2 linked regions of the Drosophila melanogaster genome follow. Changing the gene in region 1 together with any one later gene gives a genetic interaction. Each region holds a gene or a part of one and is shown on either strand. Other genes may lie near its edges. The genes, in order: cpa and Csk.

What was found.
Region 2: of cpa (region 1) and Csk, changing one enhances a phenotype caused by changing the other (phenotypic enhancement), as found in Drosophila melanogaster (one study listed by BioGRID).

Annotation. Positions count from the first base shown.
Region 1 is NT_033778.4:21,055,827-21,062,747, reverse strand, and holds cpa (capping protein alpha), read right to left. Parts: upstream 4,962-6,921; 5' UTR 4,727-4,961; coding exon 4,486-4,726; intron 4,365-4,485; coding exon 4,195-4,364; intron 4,137-4,194; coding exon 3,687-4,136; 3' UTR 2,865-3,686; downstream 1-2,864. Other genes in the region: Cht8 (chitinase 8), read right to left, coding at 1-439, 499-955, 1,016-1,100; mRpL54 (mitochondrial ribosomal protein L54), read right to left, coding at 1,320-1,481, 1,542-1,675, 1,733-1,835; CG15653 (uncharacterized protein), read left to right, coding at 2,280-2,568, 2,626-2,849; shg (shotgun), read left to right, coding at 6,275-6,901. UniProt on the Drosophila melanogaster protein: F-actin-capping proteins bind in a Ca(2+)-independent manner to the fast growing ends of actin filaments (barbed end) thereby blocking the exchange of subunits at these ends.
Region 2 is NT_033777.3:11,642,485-11,649,438, reverse strand, and holds the start of Csk (C-terminal Src kinase), read left to right. Parts: upstream 1-2,462; 5' UTR 2,463-2,593; coding exon of another isoform or gene 2,594-2,651; 5' UTR 2,652-2,723; intron 2,724-6,233; 5' UTR 6,234-6,364; coding exon 6,365-6,954.

The sequences.
Region 1 (6,921 bases):
CTCCTCCCGCTCCATCATCTCACACAGTTCGTTGTAACCCAGGACGCCCGGCTCGCGGGAGTAGTTTCCTGCAATTCCCTTGCCAATATGCGGCGCTCCTGGCTGATTGCCCTCGGCGGTCGCTAATGTGAAGGAGCGCCCGTAGAAAGGAACTCCTAGAATCAGCTTTTCAGCCGGAGCACCTGCTTTCAGCCAATACTTGACTACGGCGTCCACGTTCAGCTGCTGTTGCCGCCCGCTAGAATCACTGGCATCCTTCTCAGCAGCGTATAGTGGAGCATTGATGCCCACCACCTGGTCCCACGGTCCGTGAAGGTCATAGGCCATCACATTAATGAGGTCCAGATACGGAACCATAGCCGGAATGTCGTACGATATTTCGGCGGAGAATTGTGCGGAGCCCACGGCAGCACTGAGTATGAAACCAAAGGGTTCCAAGCTGAGAAGGCGTTAAGGGTCAGAAAATGGGCAGCACATACAACTTCCATCATTTCTTACCCCTCCTTCAGCTCCTTTAGAAAGGTTATATAGTTCGAGCGATCCTCGTTATCCAGACTGTGACGCTGGCCAGGATACTCCCAGTCCAGATCTAGGCCATCGAAACCATGGCGCTGCAGAAACCTGACCACATCATCCACGAACTTTTCACGCTTCGAGGGATCACGGGCCACCAATGAGAATCGCTTGGAGCCCTCGTTCCAACCACCCACAGCGACGAGCGTCTTCAACACGGGATTCTTTAGCTTAAGCGCATTAAAACTCTTGATATTTCCGCGTCCACTATTCTCCTCAAGATCCAGATAGGCGTCGATCACGCGAAGCTGGCCCGTCTCCTCGATGCCCAGGAAGGCGTAGATAAGATGGGTGCATAAAAACGGATCAATATCCTCCATACCGAACTTGCCCAGACCAGGTCGATAAACGGACCAAGTGCCCTGGTAGCAGACAACGTTCTCTGCAAGGGGATTTCACTGATATTCCTCGAAATATGCAAATCTGTTATACTTTTACATACTTGAGGAGTTGCCTTGTGCAGAAGATGATGCTGCCATCAGGATTACCCCGAGGAGCAGCTTAACTAAACCAGATACGCTCCACATTGCTTGACCACTAAATGAACACTTCCCGCAACTCCATGACTTTTATAGCGACTCAATTTTATGATAAGACGGTGCAATAAATGTATTTGCAATTCGCTTTTAGCAAAATAACATGGTGTTTGCACACTTGTTGCTCAGGAGAGCATCGCAAACAACATGGGCCGCTGTGACGGTCGGCTGTGTCTCCAAAATCAACGATAACACCTAGGGCTATGGGTTCTAGAACTTCTTTAGCTTGGACAGCTGATTGTTGCGCCGCAAGGCCAGTTTCCTCAGGCGGCGCCAGTACTGCTTGGAGTTGGGGTCCAGTTCGTCCAGCGGAACTATGCCTTCCGTATTCAGCGTCCACAGCCAGTCGGGATATTCCGAATCCGGTTTGATCTGTTCAGCAAAGATACTCGTACAGAAGAGTGTATTGAGGAATTGAAAGGGTAAACTTACTTTGATATCTTCTCCTGTTTTCATGTAGTTACTTCCGCACACATAGTTCACCAATTTGTTGGCATCCGTTTCCACGGGTATGACTTTCTTCTCCATGATGGGACCCAGCTTGCCAAGCTTTTTCTTCTTGCCCGCTGTGGAATGCATTTACTATTAGTTGTTAACTATTTAACCTGGATGTGGAGGCTCACCTGGCGCCGCCGGTTTTGCAGCATAAAAACGTGCCCAGTTTCCTATCGCTGGGGCTATCAATCGCTGCCTCGCCATCTGGAAAACTGCGGTTAGGCTGGTCATGTCTGCTATGTGCTTTATTTAATCCGTTTTCGTCACTTTAATAGAAAAACAAATGATAAATTACAGATATTTACAAAACTGTGCGTTTTGTTGTATAATCTGCTAACTATAAGTGTGGCACTGCAGCCCTGGTTATAAAGTATACGACCAGTCAGCTGATTTTTCAAAACAAATAACTATCGAAATTATTTTTAAATGAAAAGCAATTTTATGAGCAATTTTATAATATGACTTAATTGTCACTAAAACAACATAACAATAGATGATGTTGTTATATTTTCTGCAAATAATTTGCATATAAATGCATTTAGAGGTGGACTTCGGTCTTAATAAGCCTTTTCACATAACGATATCGACCAGCTGTCATCGCTAATTCGACGCCGGCTATACGGTATATTACACAAGTAACAGCAGCTGGATTGTAAATAAAAAAGCGTTAGCAAGATGGTTGGACTCAAGTTTCCGTCGAACCGAACACTGGGCAATATTTGTGTCTACGGTGCGGTGGCCTCCATATCCGCTGTGATGTACATGAAATGGAAGATGGAGGATCGGGTGAAATCCGCAGAGTACTACAAACTGGCCTTGAAGGCACTGCGGAGCCATCGAGGAGCAGTTGGTCTCCTGGGTGAACCCATCAAGGACTCTGGCATCGATCTGTCCAACGCCAACAACAATTGCAATGCGGAGGAGGCGCGTTGTGAGGTGGCTGTGCGGGGCAGCAAGGATAAAGGTAGATCCATCGATTTTGAAAGCAAATCTTTGGCGTTTACCAACCTTATATTTGCAGGAACTTTATACTTTTGGGCGTCCAATCAGCCGGATAGAGGCTGGCTGATCGATCGACTGGAGCTGGAAACAAAACTCAACCCAGAGAAACGATTTTTGCTTAAAAAATCCGAGGAACTAACCTTCGATCTGCCCGAGAGTATAACCAAACAAACTGCCCAGCAAGTTGATTCCAATGTCATTCTATCCGCATCGGATCAACAACCAGAAACACATTCAAAGTGAAGACAATCCGAATGTCCGATTCAATTAGTTTATTCTCTTTAAATTTGACTAATTCAAGCAATCTTAAATGTTTTATAGTTATGTTATTTTAATTACAAATTTATTGTTTTTATAAAATCAAAGTCTTTAGTTATTGTTTGTCAATGGAGAGCTGGCAAAAATGATCAGTGGTTTAGCATAGTTATTATTCATGCTCATACTAGGTGGTTGGTTTGTGAACAATCGGGAAAGCGAAAAACTTGAATGAGTGCTCCTAATGATACCACTTAAAATAGTCGAGAGTCGGCTGGTTGGTCTTCAAAGACACGAAGAATTGACTGGCTCATCGAGAGCGCAGATCTCGAGCTTGATTCGTTTAAAATTAGAATAATACATAGGTCAGAGGACATGATAAAATCCGCGTTTAATGCTCTTCTTAAACGATAAAGGCGACAATTGGTGGCGATCGTGACGTAGACGAGGCGGCAGTGCATCGTTCACCGTCAGGCTAAAGTCATCCAAATCCTTGCAATCAAATCGTCTCCGATCGTACTCGATATATGTGTAGTTATGTTTACGCACTTTCGTCGTTGTATAACACAGTATAAATACAGGCCGTATATATATATATAAGTAGGTATATGTTCGTATGTATATAGCCAATTACAGACATTTGCTTTTTCGGCAGGCACCTGCACCTGGCCGCCCTCGTTTCTCGTATTCCTGCTACTTCGTTTCGGATGCTGTGGTGTTAATGCTGGTGATCGGTTCCTATGCTCGCTTGGCCATGGCAAGTGGAAGACTATTGGGCCGCTTTGTCGACTGTGTCCGCTCCTCTTCCGCTTGCACCTCCTGGTCTTATTGCGTCTTCAGTTCCTTGCCAATGCTGTACGAGACGATTTTGCTCCAGTCGATCTTGGTCCTGGTGATGGGCAACTGGCGACGCATTGCCTTGAATGTCGTGTCCGACATCGTCTGATAGTTCTCCGAAATGGCCAGCTGGTACTCATTCTCGGCGTCCTCGATCAGACGGATCACCTCCTTGGCCACCTGCTGCTCGTTGCTGACCACCACGCTTTCGCGGCACTCCTTTGAGGACACCAGCTGGACGTTGCCGTCCTCGTAGTAATGCACCTGCACCTTGAGCACACCCTTCAGTTCGGCGGTTCCGCTGCCCGCCTGGAAGGTCACATGCCACTGGGAGCGCCATCGGCCATTCCAATAGTTCTTCGGCTGGAACTGGTGGTCTTCGATGCAAATGGTCAGGGTGATCTGGTTGCCCTGCGCCTTTCCAAAAACAGAGCTGACCTGTAGAGAAAATGTTACGGGTTATTGTAAGCAATAGAGCGTTTTTCATTCAACTTACCCCGTGTCTATAATGACTGGCAGTGTAGGCGAGCGTCTCCAGGTCGAGGGCCGCCCTCCAGGGCTCCGCAGTGGCATCTGCCTCTACGTCCTGGTAGTCGGAAGCCTCTTTTCGGAGGTGGTCGTATTTGAAGGCTTGCTTTGTGCGCGGGTCGTAGAAGCGACCGTTTCCTGGAATGCAATTGCTTATCAGTGTGGGGCTCAAGATATCGACCGAAAGCCAAACAATGTGTGTAGGTGACTCATATGGCAGGCTTTGTCCATTTAAGGGCATTGATGGAACTGAACTCACCCAGATCGTTGTGTTCCGATATGATGGCGTTATGATCGGTGCCCTCGATGCGAACCGGAGTCAGCTGGTCCTTGTTGTATTGGGCGAAGGCGTGGCTAGCCCCATCCTTTAGCAGAGTGTCATTCTTGAGGAGCTCCCGCACATCGTTGAACACTTCGTTGAACTCGCCGGGCGGCGCATGTAGGATGAAGTCCGATACGATGCGCACCTTCTCCGCATCGGTGATCGGTGTCTGCTCCATAGTTCCACTGGTGATTCACGAAATCGGGGCTGGGCGGTTGTTTGGTTTGGTCTGGTTTCCCCTCCGGTTCCTAGGGTTCTACCTTTCGACGGGATCTTCTTGTGGAGTGGTTGGAAGTTGCGGTGTCGCTGGAACTCTTCCTTGACCGTTTTTTCGGCGCTGCAATCTTTTTTCTCCGCAATTAATGGGCCAAGACGATGACGATTCGATTCACTTTTTTTTCCACTCTTTGCTAGGGATGGGAAATATTTGTGTACCTGTACCGGATGCGATTCACCGTATTTTACGGGCAGTCTACACTGCTCCATAATCCGACGGGTGAATGGCAAAAGTCTTGGCGCGTTACTTGAATTGCAATAAAAAAACTTTTAACGATGTAGAATGTAATACATTATAGAAATAGTTCCTCGAGACCAATAAATATCATTGCCTGTTCAAAACCAAACTCAATCAGAACTTTTTTAAAGCAAATTATGTTATTGTTGTACATGGTAGCTAGTTTTGGTTATTAAATATTTTTCAGTTATATAAGTATTAAAGTATTGATCAACTCGTTTAAAATTAACCTGTTTGTTTGTGAAAAATAGTTGTTAATAATTCTATTTGAAAGCCCAAGCTGGGCCATTTTTATCTTCCAGCTTCCATTTTTAAAGAAATATTTGTTATATTAAATCCAGTGTAATTGATTCACATCAACGTATTTATCGAGAAGTGTAGACAGTATATAGTATCGATAAAACGAAAACATCGAGATTATTAACCGTTAATTATCGATGACCGAGGAATCGACGGTGTCTCACATCTCTAACGCCGCCCGTTGTTTTTGTTGCATTGTGTTTTTGCTTTTGAATTGAGCGGTTGTCTCGCGCGTCGATCGCAGTTTCAAAATCGGTGTGGCTCCGCAGCTTCGTTGTAAGTCGACAATAAAAGCGATCGAAGTGAAAGAAAATACGTTTTGCGATCTTTTTATTTAAAATAATTCGCCAGAAAGTACAAGTTCACAACGAAATACCATCGAAAAGTGCCTTTTTACCAAAAGTCGTTGGTAACACACATACCAACGCAGCGAACCGAACCACACGCACACAAATGCGCGCGCTTGGCGGTGTGCGTGTAACCACTTTTTTACCTGGTCTTACCTGTTTGCGGTGCGAAAGAGAGGAGGCAACAGAAACGGAGAAAGAGAGTGCCCAAGCGGACGAGTGAAAGATAAAAGTGAACGAAAATATCAGCCAGAGCAGCTGCACCGAAATCGGAATAAGTCAGTTAACAATCAGGGCGCGCACTGTACGAGTTCGATTCGATTGATAATTATTGAGCGGTTGCCATGAAAATGCAGTCCAAACAAACGGTACACTGAGAGAAACGAAACAAGAAGAAGAGTGCAAATAGAATAGAATAAAAAAGAAGTGGAAGTAGAAGTGGGCAACACAAACAAAAGTAAAAGGTGTGTGAGTGAAATAATACTGGGTGATTCACGAAGAAGTGCTCAAAAGTGTTGCGGTTGAAAAAAAGAGAGTCTGCGATGGCGGATCGCCGCTAGAGAGTATGTCCACCAGTGTCCAGCGAATGTCCAGAAGCTACCACTGCATCAATATGTCGGCGACCCCGCAGGCCGGCCACCTAAATCCCGCCCAGCAACAGACGCACCAGCAGCACAAGCGAAAATGCCGCGACCTTGGCAGGCGACTAATCCCCGCGAGACTCCTCCTGGGCGTTATCGTGGCCATCAGCCTTCTGTCACCCGCCCTCGCACTTCACTCGCCGCCGGACAAAAACTTTTCCGGCGACAATCGTAAGCCCGCCTTCAAAAACTGCGCCGGATACGCTCCTAAGGTCAAAGAGGAGCAGCCCGAAAACACCTACGTTCTCACCGTAGAGGCCGTCGACCCTGATCCCGACCAGGTCATTCGATACAGCATCGTCCAGTCGCCGTTCGAGCGACCCAAGTTCTTTATCAATCCCAGCACGGGCGTAATCTTCACCACCCACACATTCGATCGTGACGAGCCGATCCACGAGAAGTTCGTCTTCGTCACCGTCCAGGCCACGGATAATGGTCTGCCCCCACTGGACGACGTTTGCACCTTCAACGTTACCATCGAGGACATCAACGACAATGCACCCGCCTTCAACAAGGCGCGCTACGACGAATCCATGTCGGAAAATGCCCAGGTGAGTTTCCTGGCCCACTG
Region 2 (6,954 bases), on another chromosome or scaffold:
ATACTACGCATTTTGGTTCGTTCCAATCAAAGCGAAAACAAAAACACGTTTTACAACTTTGCGGCGCGAAATTCATTGTTGTTGTGTTCGTTTTTTATTTTTATTTTTTGAATAACAAACACATGCACAGGCACACGCACACGCACACACGAAGTTATATACAGAAATGCTCATATATAGATATAGCCAACAATCGGGCCATGAATGACCGAAGCGATGCGTACAACAAAACCGATAGCCACAGTAGTAATTAAAGGCAATAACCGAAGCGTGGCGCATCGTAGTTTTTGTTACGGGTTTCCGTTCATAGTAATGCCTTTTGTTGTTGCTGTCTTTCGGTCAGTTTCTGCGTCGTCGGCAAAAATTTTCGGTCGCTGACGTCACACCTAGGCGCCACAAAGCTCCCCCCACTACCCACTGTCATCCCCCCCTTCTCCCTCTCTCTCTCTCTCTCTCTCTCTCTCTCCGGGGTTCTATGTATCCCGTTTGTTTGTGTATTGCAACATGCGTGGGCGTTATACTCCAACTGTATCGGTGTGAGTGAGCAAGTTTGGCTGTGTGAGGTCAGTGTTGCGTGAACTTTTCGCATTGGAATGATGATGTACTAACTTTTGGCGCCCACTGTTCAATATTCCCTTTATTGCGCCTATTACGACTATCTATCTCTGCCCATTTTCACTTGCGCTAATTACGCCGTTGCATGACCACTGTACTCGGGACTGATTGGAATGCTAATTGGAATTTGCAATTTTATTTATTCCGATTGGTCATACGCCATTACTTCTAGGGCTGGGCAGGTGATAGAGATAGAGATATATATTCAGTTCAAATTATATATTAGTCATATTTAGCGATGTCTAAAATAATTACGTGAATGCCTTTCTATATGCATTCCATTGTGGCTGTCTAATATACATATAATTTTGACTTATTGAACAACTGCCAAAACATCTGATCCAATTTAAACCGTACGAAAAAATACATTTCCCTGAAGAAAGCCTAAATCCATGCACCGTTCAACAATTTGTTTACGTTGACTTTATCGTATTAAAAAAAGGCTATCGACCATTTAATCTTATCATCAAACAGCTGGAATATGCATTTACGTTTATCTGGGAACGCGGTGCAGAAATGTGTACTTTATGTTTATCTGGAACCGTTGATATATGTAGATACATTCATATGTTTCGCATTCTTGAAATTATTACTTTCCTCGTTTTGTTGCCCAGCGGACACATTTTCTTCGCATATTAAAGGTTATTTTTTCCTTGCCATCTGTTTGTTTGTTTATGTTGCTTTTGCGGGTATTTTTAGCACAAATCCCTCGCCTTTTGATCTACTTGCCATTCGGGTTCGCCAGGCAAATTCGCTGGGAGAGCTGGTGCATGAGCACGGTTCCGACTTGATGCTAATTGCTCCGCAAATATGCAAGAAATGTAAAAGAGAAAAATCGGAGAAAATCACGAACTGTGCAACTGCAACTGCAATTGGAACTGCAAGCGCTGGATGCGAAAGAAACAATAAACATTTTGATGTCTACATTTTTGCAAACAACTGATTCGAGAGCGGCAACAAATTGCCTGGAAACGGAGACGAAAAGTAAACATGCAAGAGAAAAACTATTTGCCATACAAGTCGTTGGGAAAAGGAGTGTGGCGGGGGGCACGGGGTTTGTGCGACCAATAATGGGGGAATTAATTAACATGGCCAGCGGCGGCAATTAGACCAAATAAACGAAACAGAAAGGAAATCGATCCGAGTCACAAGCCTCCAATGTTGCTGGATGTGTGTTTTTACAAAGCTGTGATCGTTTTGCCTCTTGAATCTCCGATATCACAAAGTGCACTGTGCGTAATGATTTTAATGAATTTAAGGTATAAATATGTTAGGCTTATGTAGAAAGTACAATTTGATATATATAATATAATAAATTATATATGTAAGTCTTACAATTTTTCTTTAGTTTTTACTTGGGATCGCTAATAATGCGATTAAATAAACTAAATTTCTTTTAATTAAGTTTTCCCGTGTAAATATAGGCGACCGCAGAGTGGGTTACTTTTAGCTAGGCCAAAAGCGAGACCGCAGCAGCTACTTGAATGGCCAAAATCGGCCTAATGAGTTGGGCAACACATGTTTCGATTTGACTTCCATAGCGCGACGCTGCGAAAAGGAGAACCGTCAGTCGGTGGCCAAATGTGCAACAGGTGGGCGATCGCATGCGAGCGACTGGTCTTATCGCATGCAATAAATGCACGATAAAGAGAAGAAGCCGGCTCACAAAAACACGAAGAAAATCTGAGACTGAGCTTCGCAAGCGGCGCTCTCTTTCTCTGAAACTGAAACTCGGAGGTTGATTTTGTGTTTTTTTTTCTTTCGTTTCATTTTGTGTTTTTGGTTTTATTTATCGTGACTCAGTCGCGGCGGCAACTTCGTGCATCGCTTTTCAGTTGAAAACTTGCAGGCAAGGCGCGCGGTCGCGTTTCGATTCAAAAATCGAATAGTAAATAGAGAGAATAGTAAAAGAAAAAATAAAAATAAAATCGCTTGCCACGCATGCGCAGCTCATCATCGCGTGTGTGCGAATTGGCCAATGAGTGAATCGATTGCAATTGGCTTTTTGCAATACATAATAACAATAAATTATGACGGTATGCAAAGTGGCCTTTTTTTGATAATCCGATCCGTTCAGCGAAAAGGCACAAAAGGCGAACTATCGTGATGTAATACCGCGCGAATGCGAATTGTTCATATCGCTATTGTAATAATTTAATAATTAATTATACAGGCGGGAGCTATTTTTCGGCTTCGCCTCAAGGAAGTGATTAATGCAAAACATTATCAAAGTGCGAAGAAAGTGAAACAAAAAGCGCTGAAAGATCAGCATGGCTTGAACATACGTATATACTCGAGATTTGGTGGCGCAATGACCTTTGTGTGTTTGTTGTTTGATTTTATTTGCCATGTTGGGGATGTTCGCTTAATTATGGGTTTTGGCCACATGTATCGGACATTAGTATGAATCTGTGTTTCGAGTGTGTCCATGATTAATTCAAAATTGCTCAAGGCATGCACGGTCAAAACTGAAGTTGATTTTAGGGCTTACTGGTCAAAGTCAGGCTTAGCTTTCAATTAATTATGTAGTTAGACTGCTACAATTAGTTTAAATCTGATTAGGATTTTCACAAGACCCCATATCGAATGCCGAATTAATTAATTTTAAATTAATAAAGGGCTGTTTTGGTTGCCCAATGATTTTTGCACAAGGTGGCCTTTAATTGATCTGATCACCTTTCTAAAATCATTCAAATTCAAGCTCTTCGCCAAACCATGTAATTTTTTCGTGTGCAACTAATGAAGACGATCGCGTCGCGGCTGCATATTTGATTGTTTGAAAGTCTCGAATGAAAGTGCCTTGGCAGCATGTTACTGTACTGTACACTTCCCTCCCCTCACCGATTACCACTTTTTTTTTTTTTTTTTTTTTTTTTTTTGTTTGCTTCGGGCCAACTTCAATCACAGAGTGCTAATTGTTTTCTCAGGTCTCCGTGGATTGAATTCCCCCAGTCGACAAGTTCCCATTACTGCAATTTCTTCGCTTATTCTGCCATTCTGCTCGCTCTCTAACTGCACTTTTTAATCCGATCCCAAATCGCAGATCGCAGATGCAACTGCGGCGGATCGAGCGCAGCTGATCTCGAAATTGCATGAATCACTCGGCCTAAAAGACCCTCTGCACAATCGATTTGCACGCTAATTTTGGATTTGGCGACGTGCAGACACTCGACTTTGACAAAATAAAAACTGGAAAAAAATAAAGACTGCAAATTCGAAAACATTGTAGGCTGGCGTGTCGGGGCATTTTCAATTTTCCAGCGCATTAGTCATCGCCGGTCTAATCGGCCAACAAAAAACTAAAGAAAAAAAAAAAAAACGAAGAAAAAAGCAAAACCGGAGCCTTAAACTGTAACTAGTTTTTTCCAACGCTCTCTGAGCTGAGAAACTAATCCGTCGTCCTGCATGAATCTCGCACTGAAATTTGTATCTCCAAGCTGGCTGGACCAAGTGAAAGTGGACAAAAAAAGAAATATATATGTAGAAATAGAGAAAAAAAGACTTCAAATACAACTGCAGCAGACGCGTGAAACAATTTCTCATATTTTTCTTGGCTCCCCGTACACTTCGGTTATGTGTTTTCCATCCACTTATTCAATTTGCCATTCACTGCACACAAGTGAAGACGAGCTTAACCCCCAAACTGGCCGAAGATGTGCCCCCAAACCCTCCAAAGCCCCCCAAAGACCACACTTAACACTCGAAAGCCAATGGCGCATTTCATTTCTCGGCTTTGGACTCTTTCGTTTTCTTGTAATGCGTGCCAGGCACGTTAAAGTAATTGTACAAATTAATTTATTAATTAAGCCACTGGCCGGAATGGTCAGAAACAATAGCGAATGCTAAATGCTCTTTGTCTCAAGTTAAATTGCCGATCATTTGTTTTTTTTGCTCCAAGTCAGAGCTGCCGTTTTGGTGAAAAGAGGAGGGTATTCATTCGAGAAACTTTCACTCTCCGCTTGCCAAAATTATGTATGCAACAGGTATTGCCGCAAGGTTTTAATAAAACCTATTCGAAACGCAGCTCCAAAATCCCCAACGCTCATTTCGAGGATATCCGGACCAGCAAACTTACGCATCTCGACCAGGTTCAAAAACCCGACCCATTGTCTTTAGCTCTTCTGTTTTATTTTGGCTTTTCTCCTCGCTTATTGCCCACTTTGTCTCAGTCTCAGTCAACGGTTTAGACTTTTTTGGCCTTTATTTTGATTCGACTTTGTGGCGTTGGCTTTTCATTTTGCATTTCGTCAGCGGCGACACAAACTCGTTGTGTCATACATAATTCTGTTATTGTTTTATTTAATTAGTTGCGTTGTCTTTCTTGTGCGGTGCGCTTCTTTGGGCGACCGAACGCTTTTCCCACTCCGAAAAATAGAAACACTCCATCGTGCGGAGAATTTCATTTGGCCGCCACCGTTCCTTTGTGGGTCATGATAAGCAATCACTTTCCACGTGCCCAATTCTGGCTCATTTGAATAGTTAATTGTAAGTTGACATTTACCTAGGAAAGTTCAAGAAAGTGAAGATGCAGTGAATGTTGGCAAATATTTGGGAATTCTATGATAAAGATTAAACTTAAAGCCAACTGATATCCTCTTCCCTTCTGCCCCTTTGTATATCCATAAGATGGGCAAATAATTGAATCCTGCTGCTTACAAACTAAATGGCAATATCAGTGCAGAAATATCTCTTTTCCCCGCCAACTTTCCCAACATTTGTCACCTGTCTTTAGGGGATAGACAATAGTTTTGCTTAGCTCACTGCGCAGTCGACGTCGACTGCGAGGTTCCCACGCCCAAATTATTTGCACAATATGTAGCCAGAGCTCTCCAGTGAATTCCAATTCAATTCAGGCGGCTGGTTCGTGTTTTCCCAACCCAGAGAAATAAGCCAACATGGAATGCCGAACCAGCATTTGGCCCAACCAGCATTTTTCGCTGTTTGTGGAGCACTCCAAGCCATTGTCGACTATTTCAGTGAGCCGCTGACAAACCGTTAATGTGGCGAATTGACTTGCTGAGGAAAAAGCTAGCCAAAAGCCAGTACAAAAAAAAACAAACATATAGATGGCAAAGAGTTGTTATTATTATTTAGTTATTCCTCGCAATGAAGTCAATTTCTGTACGTAGCTCGGTTTTTTTTTCATCATCTAGTTTTCAACCTTTTCCATCCAGGCCGGGCTTTTATTCCATTCCTCTTTGTTTTTTTTAGCTTGAATTTTCTCTTTAGAAATTTTCCATTTGCGCTTTTTTTTTGCTAACAATTATCTGCCCTGGTCTTTTCTATCGATTCCGCCCAGTTGTCCATTGTGGATGGAGAATCGACGTATCCACATGCTGGCCGATGGCAAATCGAAGCGCTTACAGAACCTTAATTAGTATTATTAGAAACGAAAACAATTTGCCCGGCTTTGTCCACTACGGACTGGGCATTAGCCTCGATTTCAGTTCTACAACAGGCTGAAATGGCGAATTTTTATGTTTGTACTATCTGCTACTGGGCACCCACAATGGCATCCATTAGAACCAACTCCCATTTTGATTTCACTATGTGTATATATTGATAATTAGATGGTAATTGGAAAGTATTGGAAAGAATTTTAACTAGAATTTGAAAAGGTCTTTTGTAGGGATCATACAATTAAAGTTCAACCAGAGGTTTTTGCGCCATCAAAATCAGAACTTAAGTTAGTGCACTAGAAACCATTTAAAAAGCGGACTGACAACGAAAGTAAACGCAATGCGGGAACATGGTGACAACAATTAAGATAACCTGCGATGGAGTGTTCATCCAGTCCAACTCGTACCTCATGCCCACGCCTTCTCCCAGCGGAGCAGACGCCACGGTATCGTCATCCTTGGAACGGGTGCTGAAACCCGCGTCCGCATCCGCCTCTCCATCCAATTCGAACAACGAAAGTGATAACTCGCAGACGAGCAGTGGCAGCCAGACGGCGTCCAGTGCCAGCAAGCGATCCAATCGATCCGTGGGCCGGAGTCATCGAGGTTCGATTGCGCAGGACACAAGGCGACGCTACTACTTTGGCAGCAAGGACATCTACTGGTGCAAGCAGAGCAGGGAGGCAGCTGCGGCGGCCACGCTCTCGGGCTCGGGACTAACGCGTAGTGCCAGCAGTGTCACCCACAAGGAAGCGTCCACCCACGCCACCCACACTGGTGGTCAGGTAATCTCCCGTGCGCGTCGCAAGCCCATCCTGCTTTGCAGCAGCCTGAGCGCTGCCTATGCTCCTCCTCGTCGGCGTGAGTTTTACTTCTGCGACAAGTATGCACCTGGTCCAGCAAGAAGTACTCCTACTACAACCACAACATCCGCAACATC